Oryctolagus cuniculus: one gene and its partner. The protein of the gene in region 1 interacts with the protein of each later gene in a pairwise test. Links are inferred from orthologs where the notes say so. Each region holds a gene or a part of one and is shown on either strand. Other genes may lie near its edges.

What was found.
Region 2: the proteins of PER1 (region 1) and CRY1 interact in binary tests that used the Homo sapiens proteins (3 or more experiments, as listed by UniProt). The link is inferred for Oryctolagus cuniculus from reciprocal best matches to the Homo sapiens genes PER1 and CRY1.

The regions. Positions count from the first base shown.
Region 1 is NC_091448.1:52,634,193-52,646,169, reverse strand, and holds the end of PER1 (period circadian protein homolog 1), read left to right. Parts: exon of another isoform or gene 1-360; intron 361-499; exon of another isoform or gene 500-843; intron 844-2,346; 5' UTR 2,347-2,488; coding exon 2,489-2,763; intron 2,764-2,867; coding exon 2,868-2,966; intron 2,967-3,062; coding exon 3,063-3,217; intron 3,218-3,302; coding exon 3,303-3,424; intron 3,425-3,522; coding exon 3,523-3,724; intron 3,725-3,882; coding exon 3,883-3,934; intron 3,935-4,074; coding exon 4,075-4,217; intron 4,218-4,528; coding exon 4,529-4,607; intron 4,608-4,686; coding exon 4,687-4,793; intron 4,794-4,968; coding exon 4,969-5,122; intron 5,123-5,224; coding exon 5,225-5,333; intron 5,334-5,430; coding exon 5,431-5,562; intron 5,563-5,741; coding exon 5,742-5,847; intron 5,848-5,942; coding exon 5,943-6,114; intron 6,115-6,211; coding exon 6,212-6,342; intron 6,343-6,513; coding exon 6,514-6,693; intron 6,694-7,280; coding exon 7,281-7,520; intron 7,521-8,318; coding exon 8,319-8,929; and 10 more. UniProt on the Homo sapiens protein: Transcriptional repressor which forms a core component of the circadian clock.
Region 2 is NC_091442.1:109,554,800-109,566,776, reverse strand, and holds part of CRY1 (cryptochrome-1), read left to right. Parts: intron 1-5,710; coding exon 5,711-5,895; intron 5,896-6,270; coding exon 6,271-6,359; intron 6,360-6,889; coding exon 6,890-7,030; intron 7,031-7,111; coding exon 7,112-7,423; intron 7,424-8,512; coding exon 8,513-8,664; intron 8,665-8,889; coding exon 8,890-9,092; intron 9,093-9,201; coding exon 9,202-9,297; intron 9,298-11,977.

The DNA of each region.
Region 1 (11,977 bases):
GGGCCCCAGCTGGCCGCCTCTCACTCCTGCCCACTCTCTCCCTCTGTGCCCCTGGCTTCCTCTCGGGGCAGCCCTCGCCGTGGGCGGCTGCATCCTCCGGAGAGAAGCACTAGTGACTAATGAGGCTGCCTGGAGACCTTTGCCGTGATTGGCCACGGCAGCCCCTGCCATTGTTGCCCTTCGCAGCCCCTATTGGCTCCGGCTGCCCCGTCCATTGTCTGCCTCTTCCCACTGCCCACTCAGCCCAGTCACACGTGGGCCCTCAACTGCCATCCTCCGGGATTTTAAGTGTCAGAGGAAGGGGCTTCTTCACCTCAGATGACAAGGCTGGGGAGGGAAGCCCAGGAGAGGCCAAGCCAGGTTTGTCTGCCCCTCCTCTCGGTGCCTGGCATCTCATCCAGCTGGGGCCAGCTCCCCCACTCCCCCCCCCCCCCAAAAAGACCAAGGCATCCTATTCTGCAAATCTTGTCCGTTCAGGAAGTAGACATCTCTTTGAGCCCGGGCATCTTCTCTCAGAAGGGGGCGGTTGACCTCCCTCTTCTCTCTGCTATTATTCACTGTGCTGGGCGGTGTCCGGGGCCCTTCAGCCCAGCGCCAGCACCCAGGTCCACGTGCGCCCGTGTGTGTGACACAGCCCTGACCTCAGTGGGGGCCGGCAGCCAATCGGGCGCCGGGAAGAGATCCCCAGCCAATCGGGGGCGGGGCTTGCGGCTCCGCCGGCAGGAGGCCAATGAGGGGCAGCGCCTGGCATTATGCAACCCGCCTCCCCGCCCCGCGGAGCTTCCACTCGGCTGCGGGCTGGAACTGCAGCGGACAGGCGGCGGAGGGCCCTCGCCAGGCCAGGTAGGCACCTCCGCGCCCACCCTGGGGCCGGTCTCGGTCCCAGAGCCGGACTGCCTCCACTTCCTACACGATGGACCACTTGGAGCCCGGACGCTCAGACGGCACACCAATAATCCACCTTCCCTGTCGCTGTCCACCCCCTTCTTGCCCCCAGGGACCTGGGTGCTCTTTGCAACCCTGCACCGGGCGTCCGCACTCCTGACCCGCTCATCTTACCTCCAGCTTCGCCCCACTCCGCCTCCCTACCTCCGGCCCCAGCCACCCTGGCCCCATAGCCGACCCTCAGCGAGCGTGCCCTGTTTCCTTTCTCGTTACTCGGGGGTCTGCGGGCTTGTCCTGACATCAGGACCCCTTCAGGCTCTCGGCGCTCCCTCCTCTTTCCGGGCCCTGGCCCCGCGCCGGCCGTGATGTCAGCCCGCTTCAGGCTGGAACATCCCGTTCCCGGCGCTAGTTCCTGTTGCTGGCCACAGCCTGCCTTTCTCCTGGCGCGTAGAAAATGCTTGAGGATGGGGGGGTGTGGTTGGGCCGAGAGTGGGGTTAGAACTGTCCCCTGGCTGTTGTGCGACCCCTGCCCAGAGCTTCGGACGGGGAGTGTGGGGTAGGGAGAGGATTCCCAGGTCCTTGACGCTAGCAGGTGCCAGTTTCGGCCCTGGTGGTCGGCAAGGGGGCAGGAGCCGGAGAAAGGTGGGCTGTGTCGTCTCCGCCAGAATGACGGGGACCCAGGCGAGAGCCAGGCTGGGGGGCTTCTGCACGGAGGGCCGTGGTGGTTGTGTTTCGTCCTGGGGCGGCCAGGACCAGCCCTGGAACCCAGAGAGGCGGCCCTTTTTCTTACGCCATCCCGCCGTCCAGACACTGGGGATATTTAGGGGTGGGCGACCCTCGGCCGCACCCGCCCGCCCGTGTGGGAGAGGGTCGATCTCCCACTTCCGCTGGGAAATGGGGGAGGGGTCGCCCCTCCCGCCCTCCTGTGGTCCCTCCAGCAACCGCTGAGCTCAGTGGCTGACGTCGGTTTCCCTGGCGACCGCGGCGGCGGAAGCGCGTGGTGGGGCCGCGCACGTCGGCGCGCATGTGCGGCGGGGGTGGCACCGCCCCCGGATAAAATTAGCCCGGAAGCCTAAATATAGGCGGCGATCGGCTCACCCCCTGCTCTGTGGCCTTAGAGTCCCCGGCCGAGTTGGGGGGGCCCTGCTGGGAACTTGGGCATGGGAAGTGTCCAGGCCTTGGCCCACAGCCATAGTCCTGGTCGATTGCTCGGGCGGTACAAATTCGCGCCACGCTGGCAGAGGATGTGGGGGAAGGCCAAGGGAGCCCTCTCCCACCTGCCGCACTCCTACGGAGACACAAAACAGAACCTCCCTCAGCTGCATGTTAGAAGGCCTGGGCCTGGGCCCGGGGCCCGGGAGCATGGGAGCAGGAAGGGGAGGGTCTTGAGAAGCCAGCAGGTGCTGTGGGGTTAGCGTCCCAGCTTTCCCTAAAGCTCTCTTTCCTGATCTCGCTCTCCAGGTGCTGGCCGTGATCCAACTTCTCAACCCTCCGAAACATAGATCTCCCACCTCACTCCCTCGGACAGGCCTGCTGGCCGCCGGGTGCATCCGTAGTGGCCTCTCCGCCTTCTCTCTTCTCCTGTCCTCCCCATGGCCCAGACATGAGTGGCCCCCTAGAAGGGGCTGATGGGGGTGGGGACCCCAGACCCGGAGAATCCTTCTGTCCAGGCGGGGTCCCATCCCCAGGGCCCCCACAGCACCGGCCTCGGCCAGGCCCCAGCCTGGCCGATGACACCGATGCCAACAGCAATGGCTCCAGTGGCAATGAGTCCAATGGGCCTGAGTCCAGGGGTGCCTCTCAGCGGAGCTCACACAGCTCTTCCTCCGGCAATGGCAAGGACTCTGCCCTGCTGGAGACCACGGAGAGCAGCAAGAGGTAAGTGCGTGTGCGTGTGTTTTTCAAGGCCCAGAGGTGGTGTAGGTGAGCCCCATGCTGCTGGCCACAGGCCCCTCATCTTGGGTCTGTTGCTTCTCCCCTAGCACAAACTCTCAGAGCCCATCCCCACCCAGCAGTTCCATCGCCTATAGCCTTCTGAGTGCCAGCTCAGAGCAGGACAACCCATCCACCAGCGGCTGCAGGTATGTGGGCTGAGGGCTGGGAGGGGGAAGGTGCGGGCTCCTGGGCCTCCTCCTGGGGCTCCCGTCTTCACCCTCTCCTTGTCGTGGGCCCTGCAGCAGTGAACAGTCAGCCCGGGCGAGAACGCAGAAGGAACTCATGACGGCGCTTCGGGAGCTGAAGCTTCGGCTGCCACCAGAGCGCCGGGGCAAGGGCCGCTCCGGCACGCTGGCCACGCTGCAGTACGCACTGGCCTGCGTGAAGCAGGTGCAGGGTGAGTGGTGCCCACCCAGAGGGAGTGGCCCAGGCCTGGGCTGCTGTGGGAGGGCAGCCCGTTTTTACCGATGGCCCCCCTGCAGCCAACCAGGAGTACTACCAGCAATGGAGCCTGGAAGAAGGCGAGCCGTGCGCCATGGACATGTCCACCTACACCCTGGAGGAGCTGGAGCACATCACGTCTGAGTACACGCTCCGCAACCAGGTCAGCCGCCGCCCGGCCCCTGCTCCCCAGCGCGCCCGACCCCCCCCACCCCCACCCCCCAGCTCCTGAATCTGCTCTCGCTCTCGCCCGCCGACCAGGATACCTTCTCGGTGGCCGTCTCTTTCCTGACCGGCCGGATCGTGTACATCTCGGAGCAGGCGGCCATCCTGCTGCGTTGCAAGCGGGACGTGTTCCGAGGTGCCCGCTTCTCGGAGCTCCTGGCTCCCCAGGACGTGGGCGTTTTCTACGGTTCCACTGCCCCGTCTCGCCTGCCCACCTGGGGCACGGGAGCCTCGGCAGGTGAGGTGCTCCAGTGCTTGGGAGAGGGATGAGCGGTCCCAGAAGCCCCTGCTGTTTGAGGGGCCAGGGGACGCAAGCTCTACCCTGCTGGGCCCTTCTCGGCCCAGGGACGGGGCCAGGAGTGCCAGGAGCTGTGCTCACTGCCTGCCTTGTCCCAGGTTCAGGCCTCAAGGACTTCACCCAAGAGAAGTCTGTCTTCTGCCGTATCAGGTAGGTCGGCGTATGGGGAGTGGGAGGAGGCCGCCCTCTCCCACCATCTCCTTGATTTCTTTGTCATGTGGGCCATGATCTTGAGGAGGGCTGGGTGGTTCCACACTGAAGGTCTCTAATGCTTCTCTCTCCCCGGCTAGAGGAGGTCCTGACCGGGACCCAGGGCCTCGGTACCAGCCATTCCGCCTGACTCCGTATGTGACCAAGATCCGGGTCTCAGACGGGGCCCCCGCCCAGCCGTGCTGCCTGCTCATCGCAGAACGCATTCACTCGGGCTATGAAGGTGGGCGGGCCTGGCTCAGGCTGGGAGGAGGACGGGGAGGCAGGAGCCAGGCCGGTAGGGTCTTGGAACAAGTCGAGCTGTCCTGAGGGTGAGGGTTGCAGCCCCCGGTAGAGGTAGAGCCCTTAGATAGTGGGGGGCAAAGAACGCCTTAGTTCTTTTTGGTGCAGATACTGATCCAAGGCACAAAGGATGGCCCAGGCCGTCTTTGCAGGCAGCCGGGCCCCAGGCAGGGCTATGGGGAGGCAGTGTGGAGGGCCGGGGAGCTGAACCCTTGCGGATGAAACTCCATGACTGCCCTCGCTGTGCCTCAGCTCCCCGGATCCCTCCTGACAAGAGGATCTTCACCACGCGGCACACACCCAGCTGCCTTTTCCAGGATGTGGACGAAAGGTGAGGTCCGGGCCCAGAGGCAGGGCAGGGGGTGGCCAGGGCGGAGGCCAGGGTCTCTCTGACTCCTCCTCCTGTTCAGGGCTGCTCCGCTGCTGGGCTATCTGCCCCAGGACCTCCTCGGGGCCCCAGTGCTCCTGTTCCTGCATCCCGAGGACCGACCCCTCATGCTGGCCATCCACAAGAAGAGTGAGCTCCTCTCGTCATGCTCTCCCTTCCTGGCAGTCCCTGGGGCTTCCTAATAGCTGCCCTCACAGTTTTGTCTCTGGGTGTCATGGTCATCTGGGTCTCGTCCCTCCCTCCCGCTGACCCCTCCTCGTTTCCCATGCCAACACGCCTCACCCCCCCCCTTCCTGCCAATCAGTCCTACAGCTGGCGGGCCAGCCTTTTGACCACTCCCCTATCCGCTTCTGTGCCCGCAATGGGGAGTACGTCACCATGGACACCAGCTGGGCCGGCTTCGTGCACCCCTGGAGCCGCAAGGTGGCCTTTGTGTTGGGCCGCCACAAAGTACGCACGTAAGTGTGCTGTGCCTCCCGGCTGACACTGGGGGCAGGGCAGGGCTGGACGGGTCGGGCGGACCTGGGGCAGGGCAGGACTCACCCTCCCCTACTCTGCAGGGCACCCCTGAATGAGGACGTGTTCACGCCCCCTGCTCCCAGCCCGGCTCTGTCCCTGGACCCTGACATCCACGAGCTGTCTGAGCAGATCCACCGGCTGCTGTTGCAGGTGAGGGTTGAGGGGAGGGGGCTTGGGAGGTGAAGGAGGGGCGGGAGGGGCGGGAGGCAGGCTGCAGACATCTCACGTGCCCCTTTCCCCACGGCAGCCTGTGCACAGCTCCAGCCCCACGGGGCTCTGTGGTGTTGGCCCCATGACGTCCCCAGGCCCCCTGCACAGCCCTGGCTCCTCCAGTGACAGCAACGGGGGCGATGCGGAAGGGCCCGGGCCTCCTGCTCCAGTGAGTGACCTGCCCCCGAGTCGCCCTTCTGTGCTGGGATCTGCCCTGCCAGTCCCGCAGCCTTGCCTTGGCCTCCTCTTCCTGTCCCCGCCCCCCTCCCCCACCCGCCTTGCTCCTGTAGGGGCTCCCTCCTCCCTGCTCGTGTCCTCTGCCACCCACCGCTGCTCTGTGTCCTGCAGGTGACCTTCCAGCAGATCTGCAAGGACGTGCATCTGGTGAAACACCAGGGGCAGCAGCTTTTCATTGAGTCCCGGGCCCGGCCTCCACCTCGGCCCCGCCTCCCCGGTGAGTTTGCCAAGGACCCGGGGGTGGGGGAGGCGTGAGACCAGAAGATTCCCCCGACCTCCACCTCCAACCCGCTTCCCTGAATCTTGCCCCAGCTACAGGCACATTCAAAGCCAAGGCCCTTCCCAGCCAGTCCCCAGACCCAGAGCTGGAGGTGGCCCCTGCTCCCATCCAGGCCCCGCTAGCCTTGGTCCCTGAGGAGGCTGAGCAGAAGGAAGCCTCCAGCTGCTCCTACCAGCAGATCAACTGCCTGGACAGCATCCTCAGGTGAGGCGTGCCTGCACCGGCTCCCCCTTGGGCCCGGTCTCTGCCCCCGCCCGCACCTGGATCCTGCCCTTAAGGCTGCCTGTTGTGTCGGCCGCAGGTACCTGGAGAGCTGCAACATCCCCAGCACAACCAAGCGCAAGTGCGCCTCCTCCTCCTCCTGCACCGCCTCCTCCGCCTCCGACGATGACAGGCAGAGGGCGGGTCCAGTCCCCATGGGGACCAAGAAAGGTAACGATGTCCCCGCCCCAGCCTGGTGACCCCGTGACTCTGCCCCTCTGCCTCTGGGACCCTACCTCGCTCTGCCTTGTCCCCCTGCCCTGCCTCCTGATCTCCGCCCCACCCCATAGCCCCTCTCCTGACCCCTGGCGGGGTGGTAACCAGGGCCATCTCTCTGCACAGATGCGGCGGCGGCAGTGCTCTCTGGGGAGGGGGCGACTCCGCAGAAGGAGGCGGTGGTGGGAGGCACCCTGAGCCCGCTTGCCCTGGCCAATAAGGCAGAGAGCGTGGTGTCCGTCACCAGCCAGTGTAGCTTCAGCTCCACCATCGTCCATGTGGGAGACAAGAAGCCCCCGGAGGCGGGTATGGGCATGGAGCCAGGGCGTAGCACCCGGGCTCCACTTGGTCCCCAGCCAGCCCCTTCCTGCCTACCCTTCCCCTCCCCCTCCCTCTCCCCCTCCAGGCCTTATGGAGAGAAAGAGGCCTCCTCTTAGTGGGGGCTGCTGCGGCTCGCCCTGCCCCTGCCAGCCTGTCTGCTTTGCCCCACTCTGCTCCTTGTGTTCTCGCCGTCTCTGGAAGCATAGATCTCGGGGGTGGCAGGGTTCAGCCTAGAGGTGCTGACATCAGGGTGTGTGTAGCGAGGAACTTGCTGAAGACCCCCAGAGGGTCTCTGGGTGCTGACCTTGAGAGCGTGTGAGGGGAGGGCGAGGAGGGGGCCTGCCCTCCTACGAGAGCTCTGGCGGTGTCATCCCGGGAACTTGGCTGGCGGGGCAGCAGCCACTGGAGGAGACCGGGAATGCTCGCGTCCCGGGACAGCTTTGCATGGAGTGGTGGGCTCAGGGGCTCGGGGCCCAGGGCTTAGCTATGCTGTGGGACGGGGAGGGTGTGTGTGGGCTTGTGCTGACCTGGAGGTGATTCTGATGACCTTTCCCCCATCTCCCCTTCCCTAGACATCATCATGGAGGACCTGCCTGGCCCAGCCCCAGGCCCGGCCCCCAGTCCGGCCCCCAGCCCCACAGTAGCCCCTGACCCAGCCCCAGATGCCTACCGCCCAGTGGGCTTGACCAAGGCCGTGCTGTCCCTGCACACACAGAAGGAAGAGCAAGCCTTCCTCAGCCGCTTCCGAGACCTCGGCCGGCTGCGCAGACTCGACGGCTCTTCCACGGCCCCCTCGGCCCCTGGCGAGCGAGGTAGCCACCGGGACGTCCCCGAGCCTGCCTTCTGCCCAGTCCAGGACCAGCCTGCCCCGGGTGGGTCTGGAGGGAGGTGTTCCTACTCCAGGGACGCAGGCTGGTGCTGCCTCCCCCTCCAGGGCCCTGCCTCAGGACGGGCCCCACGGTAGCCTCTCCCTGCCAGGCCGGGGTTCCTGGCTGCAGCCAGGGCAGCCTGGGGTCTGGCTCTGAGACAGGCAGGCGGAGGTGCTGTGCTCCAGGTAAGCTACCCCAGCCTAGCTGGGGGCGAGGGCAGGAGGTGGCGCAGGCCGAGGCGCAGCTGTCACTGATGAAGAGATCCATGCGGGCCCTGGGCCGACTCTGGGTGGAGTTGGGGTTTCAAGAGACTCGAGATTCAGACTGAGGCCTGGGCTGTCCTGCCCACCTCTTGCCACTGTGGAAAGCTAGGCAGAAAGAGCAGCACCAGGCTGGCAGTGTCTTCCAGAGTTCGGAGGATGAGTTGGAGCCACCTACCCACTGGTCCCTGGACCCACACTGCCTCCTCCCACCTGCCGGTGGGCCTCCTGCTCACCCTAGCTTGGCCTTCATGTAACCTTTCCTTTCCCTGGCTCCTTTCTCAATAAATTCCCTGGTGTTTGACTCCTGTAATTGTTCCCTGAAGCCCCCTCCCCCGCTGTGCCCTCTGCTCTGTGTGGGCGAGCAGCTCTCCCTGGAACCTTTGCCCGGCTTCCGTCTGGTCAGTGTCAGGGTGGTTGGGGGAGGCAGGGGCACTAACCCTCAGGCTGAGGCCCTCGCTAACGCCGTCTTTCCCTACAGGCTGCCACCACGGCCCTGCGCCCCCTGGCCGCCGACACCACTGCCGATCCAAAGCCAAGCGCTCACGCCACCACCAGACTCCCCGGGCCGAAGCCCCTTGCTGCGTTTCCCACCCCTCACCTGTGTCCCCCGCTGCTGCCTGGCCCTCCTCACCGGCCACCACGCCATTCCCAGCCGTGGTCCAGCCCTACCCTCTCCCAGTGTTCTCTCCTCGGGGAGGCCCCCAGGCTCTGCCCCCGGCCTCCACATCTGTGCCCCCTGCCACTTTCCCTGCCCCCCTGGTGACCCCAATGGTAGCCTTAGTGCTCCCAAACTATCTGTTCCCCACTACATCCACCTATCCCTATGGGGTGCCCCAGAGCCCTGCGGAGGGGCCTCCCACCCCTGCCTCCCAGTCTCCGTCCCCTTCCCTGCCCCCCCTGCCCCCCAGCCCCCCGCCACGTCCGGACTCCCCACTGTTCCAGTCAAGATGTAGCTCCCCGCTCCAGCTAAACCTGCTGCAGCTAGAGGAGCCCCCCCGTGCCGAGGGGGCTGCCGTTGCAGGGGGTCCCGGGAGCAGTGCTGGGCCCCCGCCTCCCAGTGAGGAGGCCGCTGAGCCAGAGGCCAGAATGGTGAGCACCGACCCCCTGCGTCCTACAGGCCCACCAGGCCCTCCCCATCCACGTCTGCTCCCTCTGCGCCTGCGCAGCTTCCTGCCCTGGGGTCACCTGGGCTGGGGTCTCTGTCCCCAGGAGTGGGTGTCGTGGGGCGGGAGACCCCAGCTGGATTTCTTCACCAGCTCTCCCCTCTCTTGGCCTGGGTGGGCCCCACTGTTGGGAGCGGGGACAGTGGGGACAGCTGGAGGGCTGTCCAGGCGCGGAGCCCACCATCGCTGCTGTTCCCTGCCGCCCTCCAGGTGGAGGTGACCGAGTCCTCCAATCAGGACGCGCTGTCTGGCTCCAGCGACCTGCTGGAGCTGCTGCTGCAGGAAGACTCTCGCTCTGGCACCGGCTCCGCAGCCTCGGGCTCCCTGGGCTCTGGCTTAGGCTCCCACGAAGAGGGCAGCACCTCGGCCAGCATCACCCGTAAGCCCACCCCCCCACACCTCCCTGGCAGGGGCCTTGGGAGGCCAGGCCCGCGCCGGGCAGCCCACTCAGCGGTTGCCCCTCACTCACAGGCAGCAGTCAGAGCAGCCACACGAGCAAGTACTTCGGCAGCGTGGACTCTTCAGAGGCAGAGGCTGGGGCTGCGCGGGCCAGGGCCGAGCCTGGAGACCAGGTCATTAAGTATGTACTCCAGGATCCCATTTGGCTGCTCATGGCCAATGCTGACCAGCGTGTCATGATGACCTACCAGGTGCCCTCCAGGTGAGGCGGGTCCCAGGCCTCTTCCACCTCCCTTGTTGAGGTGGTGGGGAAGGCAGCCCCAGCCCACCCTCCCTCCCCAGCTAACGTGGAGTTTTCTTCCCTGGGACTCTGTCCTGGAGGCTCCATCCAGCCCCTGGCCCCCTGGAGCCCCATCAGTAGTTTCCCCGACTTGAGAGCAGGTTGCCTGGGCTCCGAGAGCCATGAGCCTCCATCGCCCCAGCTGAGGGGAGGAGCACGAGGTAGTGGGCGGGGAGGTTGCTAGAGGCAGACTGCCAGCCTCGGGGGTCCTGGCCGCCTGGCCTTGGTCCTGGATCCTAGCCTCTGCCTCGAACCTTCCCCGGGCAGGGACGTGGCGTCCGTGCTGAAGCAGGACCGGGAGCGGCTCCGGGCCATGCAGAAACAGCAGCCTCGGTTTTCCGAGGACCAGCGGCGGGAACTGGGGGCTGTGCACTCCTGGGTCCGGAAGGGCCAGCTGCCTCGGGCCCTTGATGTGATGGTGAGAGAAGTCTGGGGGCGGGGGGCTGGCAGGGGATTGAGCACAAGTTCAAGGCAGAAAGGGTAAGGGCTGGGTCATGAATTCCATGAGCTGCTGGGTGGCGTGGCTGAACTGCCATGCACCTGCTCTTGCCCGTGCCCGTGGTGATGGTCCCCTAGTGGCATCTGGGTAGCCAGTAGGACCCCAGGTACACATTGGGAAGCACCGCTGGGCCCCGGGGCCGGGAAGCTGGGTTGGCGGACAGCCCTGAGGAGCCTCCTGCCTCACTCGTACCCCCTTTCTCTCTCCAAGGCCTGTGTGGACTGCGGCAGTAGCGCCCAAGACCCCGGCCACCCTGAGGACCCTGTCTTCTCGGAGCTGGAGGGACTGGGGCTGGAGCCCATGGAGGAGGGTGGAGGCGAGGGTGGTGGCGGCGGCGGTGGCGGCAGTGGTGAGGGTGAGGGTGAGGGTGGTGAGGAGGCCCGGGCCCAGGGGGAGGCCAAGGTCTCCGGCTCCCAGGACTCAGCCATGGAGGAGGAGGAGCAAGGTGGGAGCTCATCTGGTCCAGCCTTACCCGCCGAGGAAAATGGCACCAGCTAGGCTCCATCCGGGGGCCACCTCTGGGCGGGGAGAGGCATCCTTCTGTGTCCTCATGTCAGAACCCAGAGGTGGCCAGACCAATAGGAAACGGCCCCAGCTCGTCGGGGGCGGGGGCTGGACCCATCACCAGCCCGGGATCCAGGGACTGCCTCTGTCCTGTTAGGCAACAGCGGGTGGAACTCCCCAGCGCAGCCTGGAGGGGTGTCCCCTGCCACCCCTGGTGAGGAGCGCGCCCTGCCCCAGCCCAGGTTGCTGACAAGCTGCTCAAGCAGTCCCGCCGGACCCCACGGAGCCCCAGCGTCAGCCCGAGGGTTCACTGCACTTATTTATTGGGGAGATGGCTCTCTCTCCCACCTCCTCCCCACGTGGGCCGAGGGACTGAGGGCCAAGCAGGACCCAGGGGTTCGAGCCCCTAGCTGCTCCAGGGTGGGGGAGGTTGGTGGACCACGGAGTCCCTGGTGCTGCCCCTCAGGTGGGACCCAGGCGTTCTCAGCTGTTCCCTCTACCAATGGCATTTGTGTTTTTGATATCGTGTCTGTTATTATTTTTGTAATACAAAACCGGAAAAACAAAAACCATCAGGACTTTGTGGAATGAAGTTTGGGAGCGGGGAGCTGGAGCGGGGGGTGGGGTCCCGCTCCCCCGGAGGGCTGCCTGAGGGTGTGGGCGCTGCTCTCCCTGCACCTCCACTGAGGGCCCTTGACGGCTGCAGACGTCAGCACCAAACTCCGACTCCACGCTCGCCCGCGCATGGCCTCAGCTGGTGTCCCGGGAAGGAGAGATGGATGGAAGGGGCCCGGCTCCTTGAGGTCACCACACCGAGGGGGTGGGGTAGGGGAGGCCCTCGGGCAGCGTCAGCCTAGGTGCTACGGGCACCCGTTGTCCTGCACCCATGGGGAAAAACTGGGCGGGACGTTGACCTCCAGCCCGGACCCCGAGGGGCAGGGGCGAGCCGGGGGTGGAAGGACGCGGCGCCGGGCCTCTCCGCAGCCTCGTCGATGGTGTCTCAAAACAGCTGATGTGCCGCGAGACAGGCCCGCCTTCCCGCCGGCGCCGTGGCTTAGCTGGTTAAAGCGCCTGTCTAGTAAACAGGAGATCCTGGGTTCGAATCCCAGCGGTGCCTCAGCAGCCGAGGGTGGTTTCTTATTGCCACGCACACATCGCGTCTCGACGCGGCCCTTCCAACGATTCTTCTTCTTACCAAGCCCAACCGGCCTCCCGTTCTCGTGCAAAGTCTC
Region 2 (11,977 bases), on another chromosome or scaffold:
TTATGGAGTCCTGGCTTCAGCCTGGCCCAGCCCTGACTATTGTGGACATTTGAGGAGTGAACCAACAGATGGAAAATCTTTCTGTCTGTTTCTGCTTCTTCCTCTCTGTCTGTAATTCTACCTCTCAAATAAATAAATAAAATCTTAAAAAAAAAAAAAAGGAAAAGACTACTGCAAATTTTCCTTTACTCCTCTAACTCAGCCTACTGTGGGCTTGCCTTTCTGATCTCTTTGCCTTACTAGTTTTATATAAGTTGCCTTAAGAGTTGTCTTACTGTACTTCATGAGTGCGTAACTTGCTTCTCTCTCTGGTTTTTAAATCCAGATGACACTTGAATGTGATATAACTTTGCATAGCTGTGCTCCTTTGAACAATGATGTAATGTAATATTTCTCAGTTGTTTCTTAAAACACCAGTCCCTGTTGATGCTTTTTCCAACAGAAAATGTGATCAATTGGAAGTCGAAGTATTATATGCTGTGGAATTAGGAAGTTTGTAAGATTTGTTAATTTATAGAAACTTTTGGTATAAAGTCATTTTAATGACTACTAAAATCTTATAACTTACTTACCTTTAAAATTGTTTTGGAGGCCAGTGTGTGGCACAACAATTTAAGCCACCACTAGCAATGCTGACATTCCATGTCAGTGCCAGTTGGAGTCGTGGCTACTCTGCTTCCCATCCAGCTTCCTGCTAATGTATCTGAGAAGGCAGTGTAGGATAGCCAAGTACTTGGGCTCCTGACACCCATGCAGGAGACCAGAATGGAGTTCCTGGCTCCTAGCTTCGGCCTGGCCCAGACCTGGCTGTCGTGGCCGTTTGAGAGATGAATCAGCTGATGGAAGATACATTTCTCTACCTCTATTTCTGTCTCTGTGTGTCCCTCCATCCCTCCCTTCCTCCCTCCCTCTCCCCTCTCTCTGTTGCTCTTTCAATCAATCTTTTTTTTTTTTAGGATTTATTTATTTGGAAGGCAGAGTTAGAGCGAGCACACATTTCATTTGCTGATTCACTCACCAAATGGCTGCAATGGCTGGAGCTGAACCAACCTGAAGCCAGCAGCCAGAAGCTTCTTCTAGTCTCCCACATGGGAGGGGCCCACGAATTGGCACCATCTTCTGCTGCTTTTCCCAAACCATTAACAGGTAGTTGGACTGGAAGTGGTCAGCCAGGACTCAAACTAGCACCCATATGGGATGCTGGCACTGGAGGTGGTGGCTTTAAACACTATGCCACAGTGCCAGCCCAAGGTAAATAAATCTTTTAAAAATAAAATGAAATTATTTTTAGTTATTTACACATTTTATCAAGTTAAACTAATTTTATAAAGTGATAAACTAGTCACTTTTAGTCTATGTCTCCAAGTGTATCAAAAAATCATGTTTGGATTCAGTCAGGAATCTTCCTTGATATTATTCTACAAGTCATTTGAGAGTACTTCAAAAAGGTTATAAAAATATAATTAAAATATGGTTGTTTTGGTGCAAAAAATGAAATCTGTGTATATGTGGAAGCTTCAAAGTGTTCATGAAATTGCATATTATGAAAAATTGCATAGATGTAAAAAATTTTTGCACCAAAAATTTTAATTCCATTTTTCTGTGAATTTTTTTGAAGTTCCCTCATGTATCTTTGGAAAATAAACTTCCTATCTAGTGTACCAGTTTGCTTAACTTTAGGGAGCTGATGGCAAGGAAAGGACAAAACAGTGTAAGAGCAGTTGATTTCTAGGTGGAAGATTCAATATTATGCATAAAATTAGTGTTTATTGGATTAAATGTGAATATTTACTGTATGTCATATCATAACAAAGTTTGACTTTTTAATTTTTTTTTAATTTATTTATTATTGGAGAGGCAGAGTTACAGACAAAGAGAGGGAGAATTAGAGAGATCCTCCATCTCCTGGTTCACTCCTCAGTGGCCACAATGGCCAGAGCTGGGACAGTCCAAAGCCAGGAGCCAGGAGTTTCCTCCAGGTGTCCCACGTGTGTACAGAAGCCCAAGCCCTTGGGGCCGTGTTCCACTACCTTCCCAGACCATTAGCAGGGAGCTGGATCCGAAGTGGAGCCACCGGGACTTGAAGTGGTGCCCACATGGAAGCCAGCTACCGCAGGCAGTGACTTAACCTGCTATGTGACAGTGCCAGCCTCAAGGTTTAACTTTTAAAAAATATTTTTTCTTACATTTTATTTTTGCTATTGAAATGTAGTGAACATTGTCCCCGTAGTATCACTGCTGTATCATTACAGTCAATAAAATTATTGTGATCCAATGTATAAACTCAAAATATTACATTTAATTTAAATAAAGATAATTTACTTTAAAGCAGGAGAAGATAAGCTTTTTTGTTGATTACTTTCTATACATGCATCTGATACATAATTACACAAAGTATAATGAAAAATACACTGTATTTGAACTAAGAAAATCTTTTTTTTATTATTTTTTTTAACTTTTATTTAATGAATATAAATTTCCAAAGTACAGCTTATGGATTACAATGGCTTCCCCCCCATATCGTCTCTCCCACCCGCATCCCTTGATATGTCATTTATCAGTTATGTGACCTTGATTAATTTGCTCAACTCTTCTGGTAGGCTTCAGTGTCTAGCTCTATAAAATGATGGAATTGAACTTTACCTCTGATTCTTTTTTAAGGCCAAAGGCTAAGCAAATGAAAAAGAATAGTTATTCCAAAATACTGTCTAATCTAGACCATCATTGGCAAAGCTAGTTATTCTCTTTTTAAAGTATTACTTGGGGGGGGGAGGCTGCGCTGTGGCATAGCAGGTAAAGCCACTGCCTGCAGTGCTGGCATCCCATATGGGTGCCGGTTCGAGTCCCAGCTGCTCCACTTCTGATCCAGCTATCTGCTATGGCCTGGGAAAGCAGAAGAAGATGGCCCAAATCCTTGGGTGCCTGCACCTGCATGGGAGACCCGGAGGAAGCTCCTGGCTTCGGATCAGCGCATCTCAAGTCATTGCAGCCATCTGGGGAGTGAACTAGCGGATGGAAGACCTCTCTCTCTCTGCCTCTCCTTCTCTATATATAACTCTGACTTTCAAATAAATAAATAAATCTTTAAAAAAAATAAAGTATGACTTGGTTGAGGCAATTAGAAGTGAGTAGTAAATATAAAAGCTACTTAAATCTAAGTAAGTTGAAATTTTGGGCCTTATGTGTGGTAAGAACAATAGTAACCCCCTTATTCTCAGGGAGTACATTCCAACACCCTAATGGAGCCTAAAACTACACATAGCACCGGCCCCTAAATATACTGTTTCTGTTTATATACTTATGATAAAGTTTTATTTATAAATTATAAGGCATGAGATTAATGAGTAATGAAATAGGACAATTATACTGTAATAAAAGTTTTGTAAATGTGTCTCTTTCTTTCTCACTTGAATTGATTAATATTTTTGGCTGAGGTTGACCACAGGTGTCTAAAACTATGAAAAGCAGAAGTGTAGATAAAAGGAGACTACTGTATGTGGGCTATTGTATATGCTATATATATAAATTATGATATCTTTTTAAAGATTTTTTCATTTGAATGACAGAGATCGTGGGGGAGGATGTGGGGAGAGAGAAAGAGGGAGATCAGACTTCCATCCACTTGTTCACTCCCCACATGCCCACAACAGCCTGGGTTGGCTCAGGGAGAAACTAGGAACCTGGAACTTAATCCTGGTCTCCCACATGGCTGGCAGGGAGCCAACCACCTGCACCTGCTGCCTTCCAGGGTGCATATTAGCAGGAAGCTGGAATTAGAAGTGGAGCTGGACCTGAACTCAAAGACTCTGGTATGAGATGTGGGCGTCACAAGTGGCAACTTAACCGCTGCATCATTTACCTCGGATGCCTTTCTCTTTAGTGAAGGAGTGGGCACAGTAGAACATAGCAAGTAATTGTCACTCCAGTAATATAAAATCCTAATTAGTGAAACCTGCTGAGGAAAATGGGGAGACATAGGTCAAAGGATATAAATACCAGGCATGTAGAATGAACAAGTATAGAAATACATACCATGAAGGTTAGTTAATAAAATACTATGTTTGAGATTTTTGTTAAATGAGTATGTTTTAGCTGCTCTTGTTACAAAAAAGGTAACTGACATTGTAGATACATTAATCTGGTTTACCCTAAGTAACCATTTACCCTCTATGAAGGGACTTCAAAAAGTTCATGAAAAATGGAATTTAAAATAAAAATTTTTGAAGTCCATGCATTTTTTTCATGATATACATTTTCTGTGACTTTTTTGAAGACTCCCTTCATATATGTATTCCATAGCTTCAGCTTCATGTTGTAAATGTAACATACATACAATAAAGTTTTTTTTTTTTTTTAAAAAAAGAAGGTAAGACTTATGATTACTCCTTGCTATAATTATCAGCCTAATTTAGTTTTTAGACTTTACTTATGAGACAGAGAGAGAACTCACATGTGCTAGTGGTTCACTAACCAAATGCCTGAGAGCTGGAAACACAATCCAGATTTCCCACCTGGGACGTAGCAGCCTAACTACTTGAGCCATCACCTGCTGCCTCCAGAGTACACATTAGCAGGAAGCTGGAATCAGGAGCAAACCAGGACTTGAACCCAGTACCTTTTTGTTGTTGTTATTGATAAATATTTATTTACTTATTTGAAAGTCAAGGGTTACAGAAAGAGCTTCCATCTGCTGGTTCTCTCCCCAGATGGCTGTAATGGCCTGGGCTGGGCCAGGCTGAAGTCAGGAGCCAGGAGCCAGGAGCTTCTTCCAGGTCTCCCACATAGATGGTAGAACCCAAACACTTGGGCCATCTTCCACTTCTCCTTCCAGGCCATTAGTAGGGAGCTGGATTGGAAGTGGAGCAACTGGGACCAAGCCAGTACCTTTATGGGATGCCTGCATCACAAGTGGTGGCTTTACCTGCTTCACCACAGTGCCTGCCCTATGTTGTTTTGGACGCCTTAACCAGCATCTTAACTGCACACTGATTTAATTTTTATTGATGATTGAAGAATTCCTTGAGCTTGGTTGTAATATGTTTTTCACATGTCCACATGTGTTAAAGTTTTTGTTATAGGGGCCAGCATTGTGATGGGTTAAGCCACTGGTGGCAATGCAGGCATCCAATATGGGTCCTGGTTTGAGTCTTAGCTGCTCCACTTCTGATCCAGTTTCCTGCTAATGTGCCTGGGAAAGCATCAGAGAATGGCTCAAATGCTTGGGCTCCTATATTAAAGTAGGAGACTAGGAAGAAGCTCCTGGCTGCTGGCTTTGGCCTGGCCCAGCCCTAGCCATTGTGGCCATTCAGGGAGTGAACCAGTGGATGAAAGACCTCTTTGTTTCTTTCTCTCCCTATCTGTAACTCTGCCTTTGAAAGGAATAAAATAAATCTTAAAAAAATGTTTTTGTTATTGTTTTTAGGCTACTATAGCTGCTTGATTTTTTCACTCATAAGTCGTTAGTACTCTTCATCTTAAAGGTTATGGTATTTGCATAGTGTATACTTTTGACATCTTGCAGATATCTACAAAATGAAGAAAATGTGTTTTAGACTCATTAACTATTTGAATACATTTCCTGGTCATGTAAGAAATTGTCATTCTATTAGAACTCTTATGTGATTAATTATTTTCTGATTTTAAGCCTTTTTTAGAGCTCATCACACCAATGTATCTTATATTAACTGCTCTTTATTAACTCTTATAACAGGATCATAGAACTCAATGGTGGACAACCGCCTCTCACTTATAAAAGATTTCAGACTCTCATCAGCAAGATGGAACCTCTAGAGATCCCAGTGGAGACAATTACTTCAGAGGTGATAGAAAAGTGCACAACTCCTGTGTCTGATGACCATGATGAGAAATATGGAGTCCCTTCCCTGGAAGAGCTAGGTGGGTGTGAACTGTAATAAATGTGGAACTTAACAGTTTGTAAGTCATAAATGACTCATAAAATTTTACCTCTGATTTTTCCACATGAAGTATTAATACATTAAAAGGGAAACGGTGAGGGGGGAAAGAAAGAAGAAGAAAACTGCTAAACTAAGAAATGATAATTCTGTAGTTATTTATGTGCTCTCTCTATATCTGTTGCTATCACCTTAAGATGTACATCCTAAAGAACAGAGACTATGTCATAGCATCTCTCCAGGCCCTCAATTCGCTCATGCTGTTCTCATAATTTTTCTGCAAAATAATTGTTTTCACAACTGTGATTAAATAAAAAACGTTTTAGTTCCAGAAAATTGATTATTTGTTTTTTTGTAGGTTTTGATACAGATGGCTTATCTTCTGCAGTGTGGCCTGGTGGAGAAACTGAAGCACTTACACGTTTGGAAAGGCATTTGGAAAGAAAAGTATGACAATTTAGATCATCTAGCCATGTTTTATTTCCAAGCTGGCATTTTAAAAATAATTTCATTCTCTTTTAAAAACAAAAAGTAGAATGTTGAAAAAGAAGAGTTCAGGGAAATAAAGTTACACAAACCTAAGTATTTGAAAATTAACTACCTCATTTAAATGCCCTTTCTCCTGCTTTTCTGATTATTTTTCTTGGTTATTTCCTATCTTTCTACTTAACCTGGTTTCCGATGACCATAATTTTGGAATTAGAATAGAATCCTCTGTTAACCTCAGTGGGCAGTGGAAGGTAATCTCAGGCATGTGTTGGGAGTTTGAAGGTTATGTGTTTCACATGAGTCTGTGCTGCATGATAATTGAAATGAAAGAATGCTTACTTTTCTTTCATGTTTAATAAACATATGTAACTTGTGGCTTGGATAATAAATTATTCCCAGAGAACTGGGAAACTTTTATTAAAAAAAAAATCTGTTTTGAATACTGTGTTTAAGTGGGAAAGACAATGTGATTCTTTCTGTGTTTTCAGGCTTGGGTGGCAAACTTTGAAAGACCTCGAATGAATGCTAATTCCTTGCTTGCAAGCCCCACTGGGCTCAGTCCTTATTTGCGATTTGGCTGTTTGTCATGTAGACTATTCTACTTCAAACTGACAGATCTCTACAAAAAGGTACTTTTTAAAATCAGTGCTTACCTTTCAAAATACATTTTTAAAACTTGCTGATAATACTTCTTTGCCTTTTAATCATAGGTAAAGAAGAACAGTTCCCCTCCTCTTTCTCTTTATGGGCAGCTATTGTGGCGTGAGTTTTTCTATACAGCAGCAACAAATAATCCACGCTTTGATAAAATGGAGGGAAACCCCATCTGTGTTCAGATTCCTTGGGATAAGAATCCTGAGGCATTAGCCAAATGGGCTGAAGGTCAAACAGGCTTTCCGTGGATTGATGCCATCATGACACAGCTTCGTCAGGAAGGGTGGATTCACCATTTAGCCAGACACGCAGTTGCTTGCTTCCTGACACGAGGTGACCTCTGGATCAGTTGGGAAGAAGGCATGAAGGTAAGTGTTCTAAGAACTGTAGCCAGGTCTTTGAAGGAACTCCAGATGTTGTATATTGTACAGATTCATTTATAATCTAGTGTTTCAGTGAATAAAACTTTTAATCACCACAGTATAGGCATACTTTTGGACAGCAGGATGGTATAATCAGACAGGAGAAATGCTGAAAACTGGCTAAGACAATAGACCTAAACTCATTTAAATGTTTAAAGCAGGCTGTGATTTAAGAGAACTGTAAGATTTAGCATTCTGGAGTTATCGTGTAGATATATTTATATGTATTCATTTCTGTCACAAAAAAGATTTGCCTAAGAATTCTCAGAAATAGTGAATTTATATTATAAATCTTAGAATGTAAATCATTTCACCTTACTTCAACATTGTAACTTTTTAGTAATATTTCTGTTATGTAAAGTGAAACATACTATGTTTTATGATATCATATTGTGGTTTTATGTAACAGGATTTACAAATATGTTCTCCCTTTCTGACATTATTATAAATTTTCCCTATCTAAGGACCAATTTTGAGCCTTTTTTTACATCTCCTTTATTTCCTTGTACAAAATTGTATATAAAGATGTGTAGCAAAAACTTAGTCAATTTATAATCATTTATTTAACTCTATTTTTTGAATCAAGAAATTTAAAACTTAAATTGTGTAATATTAGTACATTTTTAAAGTACATTTGTATTTAAGTGTGCTCCCTTTATCTAGGCCACTATGCCAAGCTTCTAAGTTTTTGTTGGTGATTTATTTGGTAGTGGTTTTGCTTTTTTGAAAGTGGTTTACTGTTTTTTCTCTGTTAATATCCTATCTTTTAAACCAGTGACTCTAGTAATTTTTTTACCCTTCCCCCAGTAACACTGCAAGGATTGGAAAAGTAAATTCTCTAATCTATATTACCAATATTTTTCTTTCCCTGCTATTCCTCATTATAGAACAAACAAGGAAGCTAACTGGAATGTTTTGATTTTACAGTTTTGTGCTAATTTTCTTTGCCTTGACTTTTGATCTACAGTGACCTCAAAAATGCTTGCTTTGAGAATTATGTGTGTGCAAACTAATTGGTTACTGTTACTTCTGAAGGTATTTGAAGAATTATTGCTTGATGCAGATTGGAGCATAAATGCTGGAAGTTGGATGTGGCTATCTTGTAGTTCCTTTTTCCAACAGTTTTTTCACTGCTATTGCCCTGTTGGTTTTGGTAGGAGAACAGATCCCAATGGAGACTATATCAGGTAAATCAAGGGTTATTACTCAGTTTGGAATAGCTAATCCAGAAGAGATTTTCATGTTTAAGCAACACTTTAAGTATTCCCCTCTCAAGATGGGCAGCAGAAATAAGGAGAAGGGTAAACAAATCATTTAAATGGTATTGATTTGATTTTGGTCACTGATAGCTGGTAGTTTCTTACAGTTTGCTCATAGTACATTTTATTAATTTTTCTTCCTTTTCCCAAAAGGCGTTATTTGCCTGTTCTGAGAGGCTTCCCTGCAAAATATATCTATGATCCCTGGAATGCACCAGAAGGTATTCAAAAGGTAGCCAAATGTTTGATAGGAATTAATTATCCTAAACCAATGGTGAACCATGCTGAGGCAAGCCGTTTGAATATTGAAAGGATGAAACAGATCTATCAGCAGCTTTCACGATACCGAGGTCTAGGTATGTTGATAGTTGCCTTTGATTTGTTGTTTGGGCAGCTGTTTCTGTATTTACTCTTGATTTTGATCTTGATCATAATTTGATAGGATTTTTTTTTTTTCCTGTTCAGGTCTTCTTGCATCAGTACCTTCTAATCCTAATGGGAATGGAGGCCTCATGGGATATTCTCCTGGAGAAAATATTCCAGGTTGTAGCAGCAGTGGAAGTAAGTGAAAAAGAAATTATTGTACTTCATCACATAAATAGATTACCTATAACAATCTGTCTTTAAAGTTAATATAATAGGTCTATACCCATGCACACACACATATCACCTCACTCTGTTGGTGACATTTTAGAAATGGAAAACATTACATGTAGTAAATACTTAGATCAAGTTAAAGATCTTGCAAACTGGATGTGGACAATGATTTTAAGGGTAAAATGAAATTCGCAACTCTTATTTTCAGAATGTTCATTATTTTTTATTCTCTTTGGGTGTGTACCAGCTATAAGGTAATTAGTGAAGGTCAGTGACCCTGTAAAAATCGTCAAGAGATGTATCATTCATGCACAGAGCATCTAGTCCTTTTATATATGGGGTTTTTTTTCTTACAAAGTCTGGTCTGTGATAGTTTTCTGTATGATATATATTTAGTACCAACTAAATCCTTTAAAAAAAAGTTATTATTTTAAACACAGAGTGACAGACAGGGAGGGAGGTAGGAAGGGACAGAGATACAGATTTTCCATCCATTGATTCTCTCCCCAAATGGCCTGTGGGCCAGACCAAAGCCAGGAGCCTAGGACTCCATCCAGGGCTCCAATGTAGGTCCCAGGAGCTCATGTACTTGGGCCACCATCCACTGCTTCCCAGGTACATTAGCAGGGAGCTGGATTGGAAGCATAGTAGTAGGGATTCAAACCTGTGCTTCAGTATAGGATGGCAACATCGCAGTTGGCCATTTAACCTGCTGTACCTCAACACTGGCCCCATCGCGTAAATTCTTAATATATGTGACATTAATAATGTTAAATTGGTATGTATTGGAAATTTGAATCATTATGTCAGGAACTTCTTTCGGGTCTCCCAAGTAGGTGCAGGGGCCCAAGCACTTCGGCCATTTTGTGCTGCTTTCCCATGTGCACTAACAGGGAGTGGGATTGGAAGTGGAGCAGCCAGGACTTGAACGGGTGCCCATATAGGATGCCAACACTGCAAGTGGTAGCCTAAGTTGTTATGCCACAGCAATGCCCCACAAAATTTGTTTTTGAAGTTTTCACTGTAAGTTTCCCTTCTTATATGTTCTTGGTAGTTTGTAATTTAACTTTTCTAGTTACTCTGAAGACATGACTATGAGGACTTGTGATTTTTGTGACTAAACAAGCTAACTGATCAATAGGTCTCTGTTCTTTGCTCACTATCTCTTATACCATTATTGACATGAAAATAAAATCTACATTTTATGGGAAAGTTATAGACTATAGTGGTATTCATGAATTCACGAAGTCAGAAGACCTTAAGGCCTTCCTATCATATAGCCCTATAAAGAAAGAAATATCTTAAAGAAATTCCGAATATATTTATTAAGCTTATTAATTTCCCCTTCTTCTCATAGGTATTTACCCTCTTGATTCATAGTACAATAATTTTTGTCTATGTTGTTAACTTTATAGGAATGGAATCATCTAGTTTGTATTCTTTTTTGTGTCTGCTGCTTTCATTCAACATTTTGTTCTTGAAGTTACTCACATTTACCTTAGTACTAGAAGAAGGAATAGAATTGATGACCTTACTTTTCTCTGAAGAGAGGATAGAACTTCCACTTCACTTATGATCTTGTCTAAATACTGATGGAGTTTGTAGATTCAAAAGGCTTCTGTGGCCTAGGCAGCTCATGTGAAGAGCCTTGGGTGATCACTGACATAATAACAAGAGTGTTAATTGTTAAATTAACAACAAGAGTCACTATGCACTAACTTCCCATGCAGGTTTTTTGTTTTTGTTTTTATTTTACTGTGCAAATTGTTGAACTCTTTACTTACTATAGAGTTGGTCTTCTGTTGATAAAGTTAATTGAAAATGGATCTTAGTGGAGAATGGGACTGGGAATGAGAGAGGGAGGAGGAGGAGGGGTAGAACAGTGGGTGGGAGGGTGGGTATGCTGGGAAGAATCACTATATTCCTAAAGTTGTACTTAAGAAATGCATGAAGTCCATATTCCTTAAACAAAAGGTTTCTTTGGGGGGAAAATAAATAAAAAGAATGGGTTACCTTGAGAAAATAAAACTAAAGGTGACTAGTTTATTGCTTGTCTGAAGGGCCATCTTTATGAATCTCCCAATAAAACTGACCAATCTTTTCTCAGAGTCCCTATTGTATTCTGTACTAAAATCCATCCAAACACCTAATATCACTTTTATACTAAGTGATTTGGTGTAGTTGTCTCCTCAGATTCAGCTATGAATCCCTTGAAGGCAGATCCCATATCTTAGTTATATTTGTATCCCTAGTACCTGATATAATCCCTGGCATTCACAGGCATTTAGCACATGTGTTAAATATAAATGAAATGAGGAAAGTGTAAATAAATATAATTTAATATATATTTGTTTGTTGCTGCGCTGGATTCATTCTGAGAGGAGGCGCATGGTGGTGGCAAGAGGCGCGGAGTCACCACACAGACCCCAGGAGTCGGGTGAAAGCAGGCCAGAGGAGAGCAGCCCGCAGACTCGTTTATTTCAGTTGGTACAGCGGCTTAAATAGCCAAGGTAGCCAATCCGATCAAGGGGTGGTTTATGCCCTAACCAATCACAGCCTGTTGCCAGGCAGTATCCGAAGCCATCCAATCACAGCCTGTTGCCAGGCAGGCTCTTTTGCCATGTGGTTTCCAAAGCTATCCAAT